4 linked regions of the Coturnix japonica genome follow. The protein of the gene in region 3 interacts with the protein of the main gene of each other region in a biochemical or structural test. Links are inferred from orthologs where the notes say so. Each region holds a gene or a part of one and is shown on either strand. Other genes may lie near its edges.

Region 1 (4,774 bases), on a different chromosome or scaffold from region 3:
TCAAACTTCTCTCTGCCTGCTATGTCACTCACTGCTTTAAATAACGGGATGTGCACCGCCATCCTCTCCCTGATTATTGCCGTTCCCACCCCCTTCGCTGTCTATTTGCAGTTGCTCGTTACCACCCCCATCCCATTCTTGATTTCTAAAACAGTATAACTCCTCTCTGACTGCCACCCTCAATCTGAATGTCTATCCCACCTCTCACTGCTTCACACAATGAACCTGCTGTTGCATGCACAGCTTCACAAAAGACTACCCACTGCTATTCCCACTGCTATTCCCACTGCCTCCCACGGCTCCTACACACCTACTTACTCCACACTACAAACAACCCGCTCCCATTCACCGACTCCTTCATACAGGTGACCTGACCTCTCTCTGCTCAGCCAGCTTCATACCACTCCACCTCCTACACTTAACTCACACAGTAAATTTGCCCCATTTCCCCAGTTGCTGTTTCAAAACCTGTTACTCGTGCAACCAAGGTGATATAACTGACCATTATCAAAGCAGTTCCTGTCTAAGTCCCAAAGGAAAGACATGGAATTAAATGATCTTTCATAGTGGTGAGGCTGGTCTCTTTTCAGTAGTGCGTGGGGACAGGACTAGGGGTAATGGGATGAAACTACAGCATAGGAAGTTCCACACGAATGTGTGGAAGAACTTCTTTACAGTGAGGGTGACGGAGCACTGGAACAGGCTGCCCAGGGAGGTGGTGGAGTCTCCTTCTCTGGAGATATTCAAGACCCGCCTGGACACCTACCTGTGTGATGTGGTGTAGGGAGCCTGCTTTGGCAGGGGGTTGGACTCGATGATCTCTAGAGGTCCCTTCCAACCCCTACAATTCTGTGATTCTGTGATTCGAATGAGTTGGAAGGGACCTTTAAAGGACGTCTGGTTCAACTCCCCTGCAATGAACAGCTACAGCTACATCAGGTGCTCAGAGCCCTGTTCAGCCTCACCTTCTCTGTCTCCTGGGATGGGCCATCTACCACCTCTCTGGGCTGGACAACCTGTTTCAGTGCTTCACTTACCCCTATTATAAAAAGGTTTTTCTTCTTATACCCAACCTAATCTCCCATTTTAGTTTAAAACCATTTTCCCTTTTCCTATCACAGCAGACCCTGCAAAAAGAGCATTAAAAATGTTCTCCTTTACTCACTGGGTCTGTCTTCTGCCAAACCGAGCACACACCACTGACATCTTGTGATCTGGCGAAAAGAATCTAGAGCAGAAAATCTATTTCTCACATACAGAATCAACGCAACAAAACATCACACTTCATTCTTCAGACTTTCAACCTGTGTAAGTCAATAAGGATAAAAAAGACTGGCAGGGCTGTTCTGGTTTTACCTGACTGTCATTTTGCTGTTTGCAGTTTGTGGTAAGCTGAGGTGTAAGATGATCTTCAAGTTGCTCCTACACACTGCAGCAGAAATGGATTCAAACCTAGTAAAAAACAAAGAGAAAACTATAAACAAACACAACCATGCATCAGCTGTGACAGCATTTAAGAGCATAAATAAAAGTGACTCCTCCATACTGAATAATTTACTTGTACTGAAGGTTTCAATCTCCTAATTAAAACTACAGGGCTGTTAAACTTAGGTCCTAGACAGTCTTTAGTCTTGCATTTTTCTTCATGCTACAAACATTACTCAGTACAGTAAAGCAAAATAATAAGACAGAAGGTGTAAAGCAGACAATTTCATTGTTAAACATAATAATAGTGTATTTCTTCAGATTTCTGACACTTATTGGGAAAGAGTAAATCATTTCTACAGGCTGCTGCAACAACTGTTTCTATAACCCTATACTGTGCTGTGTTATTGCATAATTACAGCAGTAAGTACCTACAGAATCCAGTATTTTCAGCTCATTTCCATCAGTGATCATACGTGCCTCATGCTGAGGCAACCACATTCGAGTATTGCATCATATTCTCCATGCTTGCTCTGTCTATCTTGGTCGTAAGCATATATGGTTTTCTCAGAAGCAAGATATTTTATACAAAAATCGTACAACATCACATAGTCTAATGGAAGATTAGAAATGAACATTTATTTTCAAGACCAAACGTGCAAAATGATTTGGTAGGAAGATGTATTCAGTCACTAGCAACATCGTTGTGGTTTATTACCACATTCTTGTATCCTTTCCTTCAAAACAAGAATGCTGGCCATGCATTTGCTATAGGTGTATCAGGAAATACTATCAGGAAAGAATGGAAATGGCATTTGTGGAAGTGGGAAGTGACGAGTCTTGTTAAACCAGACATACTGGTTTGGCACACATTTCCACCAATCATATTGCTGGGTGCTTGGGAATTACTGCTTGGACCTGAGTAGTCAGGCAAAATCTGTGAAGCTCCACACTTTCTAGCCGGCAAAAACACTGCTGAAGAATGTGAATGCATGTGATGCAGTTGGTTACTTGTATTGAAAGCAGTTGCTCTGATCAAAGAAATCTAGTTGGCAACAATGTCTTCTAAGGCTTTTCCACAGAGGAGGAATCAGTTCAGTTTCTCACGGGGGAGGGTTGTGAATTTGGACCTTGGTCTCCAGACTGTGTGTCATCAGTGTATTGGCGATTTTACTTGGTTTTTAAGGAATGCAAGGCTCAGCTGACTCTGAAAACAACAGGTGCTAGTTGTCTGCAATCAAAGACTCAGGCTGCTTGTGTTGGGCTTTAGACAACACAGAGGACACACTAACTATGGCAAGGCCTATGGCCAGCGGAGATGGCTAACACATGTACAGCGGCATTTACCATTAGTGCCAATAAGCTGATGGCCACCATTGATGCTCACTTGCAGTACATACAGGCACACGCTGCCTTAACTTCACCCCTTCTCCTGCCTGCACCACACCGCTCAAACCCCCCAACACACCTACGTTTCCATGCTGTTAGACACGCATCGACAAGCGCCGGCGTCCTCACATCCACCAGCACAGCCCGAAGCCTCCCGCGTTGGGGCAGGGAGCGCCTCATGCTGATCCTCCCACCGCAGCTACTGCGACTCAGCAGCGGGCGGTGACCCCGCGCCCGTGCAGCCTGCCATTGTGAGAGGCAGCCCCCGTCATAGTATCACAGTATCATAGTATCATGCGGGTTGGAAGGGACCTTAGAGATCATCGAGAGTCCAAACCCCTGGGATTCGAGTCTCCTGTGTAGCAGAGCGTGGGCACGTCTACCACTTGCGCCACAGGGGGGATTCGAACCCAGAGCCTCCGCTGTTGCAAAGCGGCGTCCTTAACCACTGCGCCACCAGGGCCCACACGAAGGCAGCGCTCCCCCGGCAGCCATTACCCACAGCCACACACACACCACCCCTACAACCCTCCGCCGTTACCCCGCGGCGGCCGCAAGGCGCATGCGCACAGCCCCGCTTCCATGACGGCTCCGGTTGCATCACCCGGGGCTGCCCATTGCCGCGCCTGAGCCGCTGTCGCCTCGCGGCGGGACTGAGGGCGGCTACGAGCCGCACAGCGCCGAGCGTCCCTGAGCCCGGGCCGGCCGTGTCGGGCCGAGAGTGCCGGGCGTGGTGGAGGCGGCGCCAATGGAAGCGAGGGGTCAGGCGGCCGTGCGGGCAGCCCCGCTTCCTCTTGCGGCCAAGATGGCGGGAGACGAGGCGGGAGTGACGCTGGGGCAGCCGCACCTCTCCCGGCAGGACCTCGCCACCTTGGTGCGGCCCGCGTGGGGGGCGCCCGCACGGCGACGGGGGGGCTCTGCGGGACGGGGGGCGGGGAGAGGAGGGCGAAAGGCTTCGCTGCTCTCCACGGGGCTGCCGACGACGGGAGGGCCGGGAGCCGAGCTGAAGGCTGTGCGGCCGGGCGGGGGTGGCTGCGGCCGGGCTGCTGGGCGCCTCTGGAGGCCGGCTGGCTGGGTGGGTGGGTGGGTGCAGGCTGAGGGGAGCGCTGAGAACTGGGCAGGTCACGGCGGCCTCCGCGTGGCTGGCCGGCATGGGGTGCCGAGGGCTCACACTGTGGTAAATAGGGAGCCGCCTCCTCCGAACGGGCCGGTAGCGTGAGCTGCTCGGCGTGCCCGAGTTGGGCAGGTGTGCTGTGTAGAGCTGTCAGGGAAGTGCCTGCTCTTAGAATCACAGAATAGTTTGAGTTGGAAAGGACCCTTAAAGGCCATCGAGTCCAGGGAGGTTGTGGATGCCCCGTCCTTGGAGGTGTTCAAGACCAGGTTGGACGGGGCCCTGGGCAACCTGATCTAGTAAATGTGGATGTTTGGTGGCCCTGCCAGGCAGGGGGGTTGGAACTACATGATCCTTGAGGTCCCTTCCAACCCGGGTCATTCTGTGAGTCCGTGTACCCAGCAAGGAGCTGGGACACCTACAGCTACATCAGGGTGCTCGGAGCCATGTTCGGCCTGACAGATCCCGGTGCAGCATGACAAACTACAGAACGTTTGTACATGCACATGTGGTGTTTTTTGTTGTTGTTATTGTCAGTAGCAATGTTTCATATTCTTTGAATATGAGAATTTTTTTTTTGTGTGTCCTAGCATGTTTGTTAGTGAAGCACATTAGTAACTTCAGAAAGCTTCTTATTTTTCTTTTTCATTGGGTATTTTGCCAGCTGGCAAGAGTGCAGCAGTTCCTCATTTCCTGATCAACAGGAATTACCATTCAGCCCCACTCTGTCCTTTGTTCAGTGGGCCCTTGAAAGCCTTCAGCTCACCGTAGCCTGTTGCTGAGCTTAACTTGATGCCAGCCTTGAAGAAAAATGGCATTTGTGCTGATCCTGTACTTCGGGAACAGGTC
Region 2 (4,859 bases), on a different chromosome or scaffold from region 3:
CAGTTAGACCTGAACAGTCCACATCAGCTGAAGTGGTCCCAGTATGGATTCTTCTCTTTAGAAAGCACACAGGATGCCAGTCTCAGCAAACAGCTACTGCAACAGCATCCTTTAATAAACACAGAGCAGACCTACTTCCATTAAACTCAGACCCACGATCCCAAGTTTTAGCACCACGGTTTCAAAGAGTGGGAAGAGAGATGCTGATTTTTTATGGAGCACAGAGCTCATCACAAGTGAGCACCGCGTGACTGCTCTTAATGTCATCGGGCACCTCCAAAGGTTAATCTGCTTTCAGCAAACAGGGATGCTTTTCCTTTTCAACACCGAGTCGCTGTCTGCACTGAACACGTTTCTTCCTCACTACCTCTAAGGAGAAACGCGTCTTTTGCTCTGAGCAGGAGCACAGCTCCCCCCATCTGCAGACAGCTGGAGAGACTTCTGCAACTCTGCTCATGCGGTCCCGCCATCACAGCCCACGTGTGGCTGCCTACAGGAGGTAGGACGCTTCTTTGGGTCAGGGACTGTGCTCTGAGACCAAAGGTGAGAGAATGTTTGAAGGAACAAGACAATCTCTGGGGAAACACAAGTCTGGACAGACTTTTTGTAAAATGTTCAACTAAGCAAAGTCCAAATTCATCAAAGTTTAACAGCGTATTTTGGGGTTAAATGCAAACACAATTAGTTTCAGCTCAAAGAGTGAAATGCCTGAGATGCAGACGCCACAGTCCTCCTTACTGCAGCCAAATCACCCACACTGCAGCACAGTGCTACAACTGCTGGGACAGAAACGAGACCTTGTGCTTCTACAGAGCTTGCTTTATAAGCCATAACGTGTGCTCTGCTGCTTAATCCTCTGTGACAGGATTTATCCACCTGTGACAGGAGCACAGAGGTGTGCTGCGGTGCAACCAGGGCTCCTCCTGCTGCAGGCAGAAACCCACCATGCAGAGCACGGCTCCCTGCCGCTGGGTTCTATGCTTCCACTCTCACTGTTCTGCTGTTTTCACTCTACATTCATACCCCTGTTGGCAATGTAATCGCTTTGCACTTTGCTGAAGAACCGCTCTCGGTCTGACCCTGTTAGAAAAGCAGTAAGAACATGTAAGCTGCTGGATGGGCAAAAGCAAACGTCTGCGTAGTGTCAGCCTGTATCAGAAAGTGACCAGTGGTGAACACACAAGGAAGAGAGCTGAGGAAATAGCTGTGGTTTTTCCTTTGCTGTGACCCACCTCCTTCTGTTGGCTCCTGAACACACAGCAGCAGTTTTGTTTGGTGAGCAGGAGGTTGTGAACAGATTCACGGAGCGCTCTGGGTTTGTAAGGGACTCTCACAGATCTTCTGGGAACACAGAGCACTTGTTGCCTTCATGCTGTTTGGCACATGTCACCGATATTTACCATATCCTCATTCAAACCAAAGAGCCTGTTGGTCTTTCCCTGCGTGCAGGTCATATGATACCGCCCATCTCATTGACGGCTCTACCTTTTCCACTTCTCCTGTGTCCTTCCTGAGGCAGGAGCGCAGGGTGCAGGCAGTGCTGGTGCACCACAAATGCCGGAGCTGATGTGACTGCTCCGTGCTCTCACATTGCCTTTCTCTCGCTCCCAGCATTCCACTTTTACGAGTACCTTTCGTCACAGCACTACTTGCACCACATTCACCTTCCTAAGAGGAAGCAGGCAGCCCTGCAGCCATCACCACATAATGACTTAGCATTCCGTGTTGTTGCTATGTACGTCACTTCACTCGCGTTACCCTGGACTTCCCCTTACAGGTAATGTGAGTGCCTGAAAGCATTCTGAAAACATTGGCTAAGCTTGAAGGTGCTCAGCAGAGCCAGGTCAGTGAATGAAGGCAGGGTGTATATGGGATTAAAGCACCTTGTCTGAAGCTGCAGGGGAAATCTGCAGCAGAGCCGGGAATGACACGCTGAGTCCATCCCTGCTCTTCCCTCCCAGCTGCACAGCGAAGCAGCGGCGGCCCGAGGCTGCAGTGCCTGTCCCTGCGCCCGGCCGAAGGGGGCAGCGCTCAGTGCGATGCTGCCGGAGCCCTTTCAATGGATACACAACCTCACTACGCCTAGTGGTTCTAAAAGCAAAACATTACGGTTGGATGTGGAGTGCAGAAAGGATTCCACATCTTGCCCTCGGACTAAACATAAAGAGTACAGCGAAATGAATCCTCACTGGATTCCCTTTTCTTCAGAGGGATCAGAACCACAAGAAGGCTCAGAAATGGGGCAGCAGCTCCAGGCAGAGGTGACAAGTTAAAGGATCTCAGCAGGACCCTCCCTAAGGGAGGTGTCCCTAACCCTGCCCCAGCTCTCGGGACGCAGAGCATCGCTGCTCCTATGGAAGCTGCGAAGAGCGAGGTTTCTTTTCCAAAAGATGAAGCCCTGCGTCCCGCCCTGTGTCCGCATTAAGTCAGCTCCGTACCTACGAGCGCATTTACCACTTGCGCTTATTTCAACGATGAGAGAAAACGAGTTGTTTTTGTCACGTCTGAAATAGGAGCAGGGCTGTGAGCAGAAAGGGGGTCCCGTCCAACCCGGCGCCCCGTCCGCTCACCTTGCAGGGGAAGAGCACGGCCGAGGCCACCTTCTCCATGGCCAGGTTCCTGATGCTGGGGGTCAGCGAGCCCCGGCAGGTGGGGCAGAGGCTCAGCTTCTGCCGGCATTGCTTGCAGACCAGGTGCCCGGCCTGGCACTGCAGGATGGGCGGCAGCACATAGTCGAAGCACACGGGGCACTCGAACAGCGACGTCAGCTCGTGGTGCTGCGGAGACACGGGCCCGCCCGGCCCGGAGAGGACGGCGGCGGCCGCGGGCACGGCGGAGGATCCGGCACCGGACGCGGCGATGGTGGCGGCGGCGGGAGCGGGCGCGGCGGCGGCCGGGGCGGGGGCGTGCGGCGGCGGCTGCTTCCCGCAGGGTTTGTTAGAGCCCGGCCCGGCGGACGAAGGGCGGCTCATGGCGCCGCGCTGCCGCCACCATCGGGCCGCGGCTCTCGGGACCCGACGCGCCCGCCCGGAACGCTCCGCTGACGCAAGAGGCGGCCGCGCGCAGCCTCCGGCCCGGCCCCGCCGCAGCGAGCATGCTCCGGGGGACGGGCGGGGCGGGGAGCGGAGCGGGGCGGCGGGGGGAGCGGGGGAGGAGGAGGAGGAGGAGGATGAGGATGAGGAGGAGGAGGAGGCAGGGGAGCGCCGCGCCCACGGCTGCGGTGCCAGGACGGAGCGGGCGAGACTCGGGAGCGGTCAGCGGCGGCCCGAGCACCGTGCCCCGCACCGCCCCGCCCCGCCCGGTACGCTGCGATGCCGGGAGAGAACGCGGCTCCGTCCGCCGGGCCCGTCCGGGGCTGCGGTAACCGAGGGCGCTGCGGTAACCGAGGGCGCTGCGGTAACCGAGGGCGCTGCGCTCCGCGTCCGGCCGCGCTGGGATGAAGGGGCGCCGGTGGCGCTGACGCCCCGCGGGGCTGAGGAAACCCACCGGGCGCCGTTATCCGCGTGGGCTCGGGCCCGATCCCTGCCCGTGCCGGCCCTCGTGAGGACCGCTGAGCCGCCGTGCTGAGCGCGAGCAGCGGCGGAGGAGCGCGGCTCCTCGCGGGGACGGGACGGGGCGTGAGAGCGGAGCGAGCGGGAGGACGGAACGATGAGAGATGGGTCTGATGGAGAATGGAACAGTGCTGCAGCGCTGCTTGGGGGCGGAGGTCGGGTAAAAGAAATGGGGCTGTTTTCATCCCCCCCGTAACAGAATGTTGAAAATAAAACACCGGTTTAAACGCGTTGTGTTTTGGTAACGGAGGAGAAGTGAGGACGGCCCGGGGGTGGGAATGTCCCCGCGTCCCTTTCATTTGCCGGCGGGGCTGAAGAAGGAAGCGGGCAGAGCCGGGGCTGAAGCTGCGCGCTTCCCTGCCCGCTGCCGTGGTTGCTGTCTGTCCCTGCGCCGGGCTGGATGCGGCTCTGGGCGCACAAAGCGCTGCGTGGTGCCGCTGAGCAGCGCAGCGGACGGGGCGGCCATGAACAGGGCTGTGGTTTGAATTCCCCGTCAGCTCATCGGGCACATGACATACAGCATTTTCCCGAGAGTTCTGCTGCTGACTTGACTCCTCTTGCCCTTAAATGAGCAACGCTTTCCTCCGAGGTGTGGCTGCACTTCCCAGAATGGTGCTGTTATCGCTGCTCGGGCGTGCACCATGTGTGACTCATTGGTGGCTGTGCGCCCTGCGAGGAGTTCCACTGAGACACTGCCCGTGCTCTCATTAAAAGGAGGTGCAGTGTTAGTGGAGTTCTGCTTTTTTCTTCCTTGTGAAGCACTGCCGAGCTTTGCAAGATGATGCAGTCCAAGGTACCAGAGAACAATGCTTTGACTGCAGCTCTGGTTTTATTTTTCCTTTGGCACTCAGTAATGTGCAGTGCATTCAGACACACTGAAGGCTGTGCCACGGCAAAGCCAGAACGAGCCATAGTGTGGGGTGAGCTGTGCTGTGCTCTGTCCTCTCTTGAGTTACATGGCCAACATGCTGCTTTTCCTCTGCCATTCTCTCTTGAGAGTCTTTGACATAGGTGTGGAAGTTCTTTGGAGCTCTGAGAATAAAGGGACCCCAAGGTTCTCTCCAAATCCTGGGGTGCAGAGGCCTTTTCTGATCCCCACCCCCAAACAAATGGAGTGTAACAGCGGAGTGGGGCAGACAGAAATCAGCAGTTTTTGGACGTGGTGTGTGTGTGCTTGTCCGGCCTGGGAGAAACCTACATGGGGCTGTGGGGCAGGGGGGTCCCCAGCACAGCTCCGTGTGTGTGTCCTTTTGTTTCAAAGCAGAACGTCTCATACACACATGCTGATGTTCCAACCATGACCTTCTG
Region 3 (4,782 bases):
GTCTGACAAGAACTCATCTCATTCATCTCCTAAGGACAAACACCACACCTAGACAATAAAACTGGAAAAAAGGCTTCACTGATCTGCCTGAACAGAGGCAAAACTTTTTGTAGTGTCTTGGCTTAAGTTCAGGTTTCAAAATAATATGGCACAGTAAATGAAGTGGCAGAATACTTATCCATGAGCAACTCTGAAGAAGGGAACCTGATTTAATCCCAGCTAATCAACTGATGATGGAAATTCTATTGTAAGAGTACTGCAATGTTGTAGCACAGATAAAATAACAATTAAGAAAAGCCTTTATGACCCCTCCTTTTTTTTTTCCTGATGAGGCTGCATCAATGTCTCTAAGCATTCAGATAACACTGCGTTCAGATAAGAACTAGCCCACTGCATATGCATACAAAATAGGGTTAAAAGAGATTAGCAGATAACTTACATTTTTCTGTTTCTATAGATTTAGATGCAAAGATTAAAACCAGCTTTGAATTGTAATGGGGAACTCTGATTTAGGTATTTAATTGTTTTGAATACAACGATAAATATATCACTCTTTTCCTGTATGTATAGATATATATACACACTGGTGAACTCCTTATTTATTTACATAAGATTTAGCAGATTCCACATACACATCCATGGCCAGTGTGCTCCCAACCTCCCTGAGATGCAGATCTGCACAGAGGGATAAATATGTTGCTAAACATCTAGGCATGTTCATTTCATGAACTTTATGTTGCATTTGCCAATGAAGACATCAAAGGAGCCCAGCTTTGTATGCAGTGAATAGGAGCTTGTGGCAGTTCAGCTGTTACCTGAACCCCCTAAACAGGGTTTGACTAGGAGTGCAGGAAGTGGAGGTCCTCTGAGTGGTATGATTTCATACATCTGGGAATGCATGCAGTGCATACCATTGCGCTGTCTGGCACTGGTATTATTTGCTTTTTCTGCCACTCCATCACCCCCCACTAGCTGAATGTGATTCTTCTCAAGCTGCTTGCGTAGCCACTTCTGAAATGGAGCCAAGATCAAATTCCCTGATGCCACTAACAATGTTCACTTTAACGGACTCTCTTCTTTGAAGTGCTTTCACTGCTCATCTGTAGTCAGAAGCAGCTTGAATTTGTTCAGCTGAAACTCACAGATATTTTAGAGAGTCTTGATGGTGAAGAAACCCATTCCAGGACCTGAGGGATTCTGTTTCAGGACCACAGTGCAGTGTTCATAGCCCTCAGACTCTAAGGAGAGCACCTGTTTGAGTGAGCTGTGTGCAGAAATGTTTTGCTCTAACTGATATTTCTCAGGTTGTCATGAGTAATCATGAATAGCTTTGCATATATATTTCAGCCCTGGAAAGCTATTTCAGCATGGAAGGCTGAAATAAAAATGTACAGCTCTGTGTACAAAATCGTGCCATCTACCTTCTGCTGTAGTGAATGACAAGAATTCAGGACAGGAAAATAACACAATGGGAAACTTTTTACTTACCTTTAGGGGGAAAAAATATCTGAACAACAGCCCCTGCCTTCCAAGCCCCTTCCTCCCCCCCCCCCCCCCCCACTTCTAAAGAAAGAAGAGAAAAGAAGAGAAGCAGCTAAGAAAACCCAAATAAAGCAGAACACAAATTGCAGAGAGAGAAGATGGCAAACAGTATTTTGTAAAGCTGATTTATTTGGTCTGAATTTTAAGAAAGGTACTGTGTTCCAGCACTGTAGCTTTAGAAATCAAAACTCTCTTGTAGCATTTTATAGGTTCTACAGAGTCTCTGCTCAAACCATGCAGTTCAGCCAGTTCCATTTTTTTTTTTCCTTTGGAGAGCAGAATTTGCAAAATTTCTTTCTGTATTTAATAGGAAAATCGACAATGATGATAAAATTTAAACTTTTTTTTTAAATTATTATTATGTTGTTATTGTTTTTATGTTTTGGGGGAGTGTAAAACTTTAGGGAATCTCTGTGTCCTTTGTGTTACTTCATATTGGAAGAATAGTTTTAACACAGAGATACAATGTGACTAATGAGAAGATCATTTAATCTGCTACTCGTTGGGTTTTTTAGCTGCTTAGGAGATTTTTTAGATTGGTATTTTACAGAAGGATAATAATGTTCATTTTTAATCAACCTGGAAATAGCAGGCAATAAATACCTCCATAACTGAAGCTTCCTGTTAGGTGACTACTATAACTTCTTTCTTAATGCCGTACAGATCTTTTTGCATCTAGCAGCTTGTGTCCACTGGGAACACTGATTTATTTACATTTTTAACATCATGAAAGAAAACTCATAATAATTTCACTTGAAGATAGACTAAATTATGACTCCCAGGGAGCCAGAAATAACTGTGAAAGGGTTTTTAAAAATGCAGTTACATGGATGGTGAGAACATTCACATTTAGTGAAGGTAAAGAGTTATTTTGTCCTAACAGGCATGACAAAACCTGTCTTCATTCCTTTCTGTTCAGCTCAGCAAGTGCTTCTGTGCTCCAGTAGTTAATCAGTTACCAGATTCCACAGCTTTTGTTTTCACACTGTTTAATTTTTCTTATTTGACACCATACTTGTGAATGGATTCACTTGCTGATACAGGTACAACCTTCAGGTTTGCCTGCTCTTTATGCCTAGGATTGCTTTTTGTTGCTGTTGCCACCACCGTTACCTGGTATGTTCTAAACAGGAAAACTTCTGGTAATTATGTAGAAAGGAAGCGGTAAGAATGACAAGCACATTTCCTATTTTACCAGGAAGCCAATTCTCAACATGTAAATCTAGTTTTAATTAACTCACCTCATAAAACTGAATAATTAAATAAAAACAGTAATCCAACATGAACCAGTAATAGCACATCTTGCTGTAGTCGCACTACACCTCTTCACAGCAAGAAGACTTAGCTTACATACGCTGTATGAAAGAGGAGACCAAGAGGTAACACTCAAGTGACACACTCTATGTACTAACTCATTGGCAGTGAAGTTTCTCTCTCAGTCCATGCACGGTCCCTTAAACTGCCTCCAGTAAATACTCCAGCAGACAGATGTTGAGCTGAGCACAAGAAGGGTCAAAAAGCTGCTCTCCCCAAAATCCTGTCACCAAGCACCACAGAGGCTGGCAGTACCCAGACACCTTAAGGAGATCATATATGTAAGAAGCCATTATACCATTTTAAGCATCAGATAATTTTTTTTTTTTCTTAAGGTTATCTTAAATTAATTTTAAATAAAGGCTTTCAAAACTCACCCTTCTCTTTGAATTGTGCAAAGTTCTGCTCCTGATCGGGGTGATAAATGTTTACTATTGACTTCCCCTCCAGCTATAAACCTCAAGCGTAAGTAAGATGAGGAAGCCACCGTGGACCACACTAGAGAGTGCCGAGAGGAGATCTGCTGCTCCTAGGATATATACAATGTGCAATGGATAACCTAATATGCCTTTCATTTAACTGGCTGGGCAGGTTTCTGCATTCTGGAGAGTGTGGAATCATACCAGAATTTGTTGGCATAACAGGCTCGTCTGACCGGTTCCTGGGGCGCCGGGAACCAGCACAACCAGTTTGCATCAAAGGCCGCCCAACATGCTGCAGCTCAGCACTGGGGAGGCTTCGTGCCTCACGCCTCCGTCAGCTCGCGGCGTGCTGCTCAGAGGGAATGATGTAGCCTCCAGCAAAATAATTTACAGAGGGGTGAGGGAGTGATACATTCATGGTAAGTGTAGCAAGACTGTGGTGTTATAAAATTTCTTTCGTTTTATGTGCTGATGCACTGGGCTAGAGGTCTTGCTCAGTGTGACTGCAAAAGGAAATTTGTCAGAAAATACCTTTTTTGTAGTACTAACACCAAATCTTGAGTGTGAAAAGACAGAAACTAGGCTCCAATTCAGCCTTGCTTCGTAGAATCACAGAGTTGTTTGAGTTGGAAGGGAGCTTTAAAGGTCATCTAGTCCCCTGCAGGTTGCTCAGAGCCCCTCCAACCTGACCTTGAATGTCTCCAAGGATGGGGCATCCACCACCTCTCTGGGCAACCTGTTCCACTGCTTCACTACCCTTACTGTAGAAAACTTCTTCCTTACATCCAATCTAAATCTCCCCTGTTCCAGTTTGAAACCATTTCCTCTTTTCCTATCACCACAGATCTTGCTGAAGGGTTTGTCCCCTTTTTTTGTTCTAACCCCCATTACAGTCCTGCTCTAAGTACTTAAGCATATCTACATGTATGTATAGAACTCTGCATAGCTTTGCTATATGTTAGGGACAGGATCCTGGGAGCCTGCTTGTGAAATGCACACCTCACGCCTTCCATGGAGGTCTGGGTTAGTATAAGCTGCTCTGAATTACCACACATGATATTTCAAGGTGAAACAAATTGCAGAACACCGAGGGTATGGGACATGCTTCCATAACCATGAGGAACTACTGGTGAGGCAACACCCTTCTCTGAAGGATACAGAAGCCGCTCTACTACAATTGCACACAGGCTGTAAGCAGCAGCTGTGCTGCTTCATATTCATGGCTGGGAGGCAAGAATACTTCATATTAGTCCTGTGTACTGCATATTTATTCAAGCTGTAGGCAGAGAGCAGGATATGCCCCGACAGAATCCTGCATCTGTGTCAACTTATTACATTCTTTCAAATACAAATATAAACCATAATTTTCAGATCTACTTCTGTGATTGTCTGAGATCTTGACTCAAATCAGCAGGAGCTGTAGGAGTTCAGCACTCCTGGAAATGGAATCATGGATGCCTATAATCAGCCTGCTAAACTCAGCTTGGGCAGATTCCTTTATCTT
Region 4 (4,897 bases), on a different chromosome or scaffold from region 3:
CAGATTTTTTCTCCGCTGAGTATTAAGTGAAATTTAGTAGTAGCGCTCCCATGCCGTCATTAACTTGGGAGAACAGTAAATCCGATGCTGCCTGTTCAATTGGTTGCTTAATTTGCATGATTCGTTACTGTAAGCGAGTGTGCAAATTGCTAAAAGCCATTGGAAAACAGTTCAACTCACAGAGCACTTAAAGTGCACAGCCCTGTAACTTCCAGGAGCGCTTGTGGCGATCCATTAACTGCACAGAACAAGCTGTGTGCAGCCCTGTGCACATGTTCACTGCACCAACATCTCATTTGGGGAATCAGTCCCACACCATTCAATTTTTAGCAACTGAATTTCAACTCGCTATCACCTCCTTTGAGCAGTGAGACAAACAGTAATGAAATGTGGTGCGTCACAAAACCGCTGGCATCTCTTTATAGATGCAATAACGCACAAACGCCTGCTCATCACAAGTTTTTATGTTAAACAATTTAAAAATATACATATAAACAGCAGCAGTAATTAGCAAACCACCGCTACCTGCTTTTAGTGAGCTTGCAATAAAATCCATCTTAAAAATAATTCTTTTTTTCTGAGCCAAAAGGTTGAGAGAAAAGAAAGCTTTACGGGGACTGTTGAACAAAAAAAAAGCTGACAGAGAAGATAAGCCACCTTTAATAGCTGTACAGCTCATTAAGTTTCCTGAGCTTTAAAAGAAACATTATGCATCCTCCTAAAATATAAAATACTTAGGCTGTGTTATGGGAAATACGTGCCGAGAACTCCTTGATTCTTAAACCTGAACAGGACCACATAGAGAGAACAGCTTTTCTAAAAACAAACCTGCCCCCTCATTTTTATCCTACATTACACACTGGCACGGATCTAACAACATCAGCCAGAGATGTTTACAAACCTCTAAGAACATCAGGAGCAGAATATAGATCTGACGTTTTACACAGTCAAACTGAATTCCTGTACCCAGAAAACCTTAAGCATTTTTCCATATCCATTTTTTCTTCCCCTCTTCTCTTGTTTACCCTCTTCCTCATCTTCCCACTCCCACAACACAGCATTTATCCAGCATATGGTAAAGGGGATTAGGAAGTCAAAGTGGCTAAAAAACTTCATTCCTGCTGTATTTTTCAACTGCATCAATTCCCAGCAGCGCATGGCCACACAGATAGATTTTAGGATGCAGTGAATTGTGTAAGGCTGGGAAAACAAGCCACACAAATGGCTGTGATTAAACAGTGTCACAACATGTGAACACACAGCCTGAGGGAAGCCGCTGCTGTTTTATACAGTCACAGAACCTAACGGTCTGCCACCTCCACCCCGACTGCATTCTTTGCCACATCATCACAACTAATTTCTCTTACGTCATCCAACTGACAAATATAGTGACCCTAAGAGAATGGTGGAGTTCAGTTCAGCTGTGGGTGCCCTCAGAAGGGACAGGTTTCTCTGTCCTCTCTCATTTCCGTCTCCTCATGCTTTGCTAATTCAGCTCACACTAAAATAGGCAAAAATAAAATAAATATATACCTTTAAGTTTTCTGGTAAGGTCAGACACAGAGACTCTAGAATGAGGACCTAGGACCAAAGGATGAACAGCACAAAGCACTGTGGCATCTCACCCATAGGTCACTTCCATCTGATCCTACAACAGAGTTGTCCAGAGGAAGGGACATCCTTCCCAATTTCCCACCCTCAACAGCCAGCTCCCCAGTTCTTGGTGAGCAGATAAAGCTGACACCTTGGCCAATCAGTCAACTAGTGACATGAGACCAATTTGGATCAAGTATTCAGGGTGAACTAAGCTACTTTTTGTTGAGATTACATCACTTACGAAATTGTACCCTCTGGTACTCTGATGAAATGCCTTTCTCTGGCTTTGTCATAAGGAACTGTCCATGTGCCCCTCATTCCTCCTTTCCAACTGCTATTTCAATGCAACTCGTGAGTCAGCTGTGACCTAGACTGAGGAATTCACCTACATAAAAAAATTCTCAAACAAAATATTGTATTTTTAGTATTGGTCCTCTTCCACTTTGGTTCATTATATGGGTACACTCATATTGTAACAAAGAAAGGGGAAAAGAGGAGGATACAACAAAGCTACCAGTGACTGCTGACGACCAACACAGCTGCTTCAAATGCAGTTTACTGCTTCAGTATTAGGCATGATGCAAAAACTACTCATCCAACAGTCTGTACACTTACTCCAGTCATACCAGAACGGGTTTGGTAAAGAAGTTAACAGATCCCTTCTAAGAAGAAACAAGCATCTAGTATTAAAAAAACATCATTAAGCCTCAACCACTTGTGCATTCATCAAAATACAACTTATCCCTCAGCCTGTTTTCACATCAAATCTGAAAGAAAACAAAGAACACCAGGAACATACAATTCACACAACTGTGATTCAAGATTAATTGACTGATGCAAGTGATTCCACTCCTTTCACAAGATCTTGGTATTTTTATTAACGTTCATTAAGTTTGGGGGTCTTCTGGGATTTTTTTCTTTAACTTCTTTCCCATTTCCTCACTAAGACCAGATATGGGCTCTTAAATCAATCTATATGAAGCATATCTGTAGAGAAAGACCCTGGAGAGGATTATGTGGTCTCCTTATCCTTTTGTGGTTGTTATTTTATACAAACCCACAAGCTTTCACAACATCTTGGCAGAACGTTTTAAAATGCTGAGCTGGAAGGAAACGGAACTGGACAACAGTACAGAGTTCCCACACTCTTTGCTTTTATTCATCAAAACCCAACACCTCTGCACAGTTAACAGGATTTCAACAGGAAACACATCTCAATTAAAAAAATACACTGAATGACCAAACGAGCAGAGTTCTGACCTTCAGAAATATTTATAATCCACTAAATGAATGCAACCTTAGAAATTGAAATATCCAACCTTCAAATATGCGATCCAGCCGTTGCCGCTTCACTTTGTGTTTGTCCATTAGAGACATAAGAGGGGAAGCTCAGAGAACGTCTCCGCACAGTTTGATGATGGACTTCAAGTCAGCCACAACTCAGAAACGTTTTCTGCCTTTTATAAACTTGTTTGTTTTTTAAACCTGTGAATAGAAAGACAGATTTCTTAAATATAGTGGGTTTTTTTCCCACCCCTTTCCAGAAGAGTGACCTATGTATACTTAAAAGAATAAGAAAACATTCACAGTTCCTAAATATACTTGGTATCCTGGGATTTCACAATAAGCTTCCCCATAGGAAGGCATCATAACAAAGCAATCAAGGAAATGCTCCTCTCATCCTTAACTCCATGATATTAGAATAAATTAGAGTTTGATACTGGGAAGTTTAGGGTCACGATTCAAGAAACATATAACTGAAGATGTGCATCCCAGTGAGAGCACAGACTGCCAACATCTATATCAAGCAAATGGCATTTAAAACAGCTTCATGCATGACTAGGCAAGCTCTTTGGCAGCACACACAACTAAGCACTTTTCAGATCCTGCGTAGCTGGGCAAGACAGCAGAAGGGTAACACAACACGAAGCCTGCAGGAAGGGGGTGGGGAGAGGAGAAACATCCCGCATCAAAATTCTCACCAAAATGTACACTGTAAATAAAACACACAGGAGCAAGTGAATGGGTAAAGCTATAGAGATCCTTGGAAAAGCATAATAAGAGCAGTGCATTTGTCCCCTGTAAGAACTTAATAGGCTCTGAGAACCAAACACGTATTACAAGCATGGTGCATACAAACACAGGCCAAATAATTCATTTCCCTGTTTCCTTTTATTCCTTCCCAGGAGCTTTCAACATCAGTGGTGAACATTACATGGCTTTGCAAGTGACCAAACCTAGAAATCTGCTTGTTTCTTCCTTGATTTCTTCCTTTTTTTTTTTTTTAATCAAATCAAACAAGTGCACATTTAGTCAACACCTCACAAAGACTCTTGAGGTGAAGTGACAAAAATATTTTGAATATGAAGCACTGCACATTTGCATTAAAACAGCTATCTTCTTCCAGCCGTACTCTGCTTGCTGCTTTTGGATTTTTAAAACAAAGCTCCTCTCCGTGTTTATTTTCACTTGAAGATGAAGGCAATGTGCAATATTCATCATGCTTTTATCGCTTTATTCAACCTCATCCTCCCACCCACTCTCCCTCCACCTTTTCCTTTATCCTCAGATTCAAGAGTTCTAATGTTCTGCACAATGTCTGACTACAGCTGAACATAATCATCGTGACAGCAGAAATTGATGAAGAATGCTGAAGCCAAATTTCTCTTTAAAAATAAAACAAAACACTGCTGTATAGTAAATTTCCTGTTATAGTGCCTCACATTGATTATTCCTGCAAAATACAACATCCTTCAATATTGAACATGGCTTCAAGATTACATGAGCATTACACCAAATCTAACATGCGGTTAAATGCTTTTTAAAATTAGCCATAGCTACCTGCCTTTCCTTCAGTCAATGTGCCAAACTCGTGTCAACCCCAAACTAGCATTTCTTTGCCTGTTACCTTTGTTTTACAACCTACCACCTCCAATAGACACAGAAGAAGGAAAATAAAAGAGGACAAGAAACAAAAACCAGAATACACTGAATGTTTCCAATGCTAATCTAGGTTTAAATTTTTATAGCTAATTTAATTTCCTGTCTTGTAGAAACATATATGCCTTCTGTCCTCCTTGCGCTCAGTTTTGTTTATTCATTCAGCCCAAGATTTTTCCACTGTAGTCATTCTATGTACGAAGTTGGCTGACAGCTGTAAAAAAGCAGCCCATCTGTAACTACTGCCCTACCGCTGGAAGTGTCACCAGCTGCTTTCTATCCATCTACAGTAGCTTCAAAGCGTACCGCATAAATCAAGTAGCTTTGTTTAAAGCCCTGTTTGTTTGGTTTTTATCCACGG

What was found. The genes of interacting proteins can lie anywhere in the genome.
Region 1: the proteins of RBBP8 (region 3) and KLHL15 form a complex in vitro, tested with the Homo sapiens proteins (2 studies listed by BioGRID, with this or other methods). The link is inferred for Coturnix japonica from reciprocal best matches to the Homo sapiens genes RBBP8 and KLHL15.
Region 2: the proteins of RBBP8 (region 3) and SIAH2 form a complex in vitro, tested with the Homo sapiens proteins (2 studies listed by BioGRID). The link is inferred for Coturnix japonica from reciprocal best matches to the Homo sapiens genes RBBP8 and SIAH2.
Region 4: the proteins of RBBP8 (region 3) and CTBP1 form a complex in vitro, tested with the Homo sapiens proteins (3 studies listed by BioGRID and IntAct). The link is inferred for Coturnix japonica from reciprocal best matches to the Homo sapiens genes RBBP8 and CTBP1.

What each region holds. Positions count from the first base shown.
Region 1 is NC_029516.1:107,481,242-107,486,015, forward strand, and holds the start of KLHL15 (kelch-like protein 15), read right to left. Parts: upstream 3,082-4,774; 5' UTR 2,894-3,081; intron 1,453-2,893; 5' UTR 1,357-1,452; intron 1-1,356. Other genes in the region: EIF2S3 (eukaryotic translation initiation factor 2 subunit 3), read left to right, coding at 3,563-3,688. UniProt on the Homo sapiens protein: Substrate-specific adapter for CUL3 E3 ubiquitin-protein ligase complex.
Region 2 is NC_029524.1:20,988,583-20,993,441, reverse strand, and holds the start of SIAH2 (E3 ubiquitin-protein ligase SIAH2), read right to left. Parts: upstream 3,082-4,859; 5' UTR 2,973-3,081; coding exon 2,571-2,972; intron 1-2,570. UniProt on the Homo sapiens protein: E3 ubiquitin-protein ligase that mediates ubiquitination and subsequent proteasomal degradation of target proteins.
Region 3 is NC_029517.1:92,768,848-92,773,629, reverse strand, and holds the start of RBBP8 (DNA endonuclease RBBP8), read right to left. Parts: upstream 3,368-4,782; 5' UTR 3,234-3,367; intron 1-3,233. UniProt on the Homo sapiens protein: Endonuclease that cooperates with the MRE11-RAD50-NBN (MRN) complex in DNA-end resection, the first step of double-strand break (DSB) repair through the homologous recombination (HR) pathway.
Region 4 is NC_029519.1:76,690,948-76,695,844, reverse strand, and holds the start of CTBP1 (C-terminal-binding protein 1), read right to left. Parts: upstream 3,082-4,897; 5' UTR 2,974-3,081; coding exon 2,916-2,973; intron 1-2,915. UniProt on the Homo sapiens protein: Corepressor targeting diverse transcription regulators such as GLIS2 or BCL6. Has dehydrogenase activity. Involved in controlling the equilibrium between tubular and stacked structures in the Golgi complex.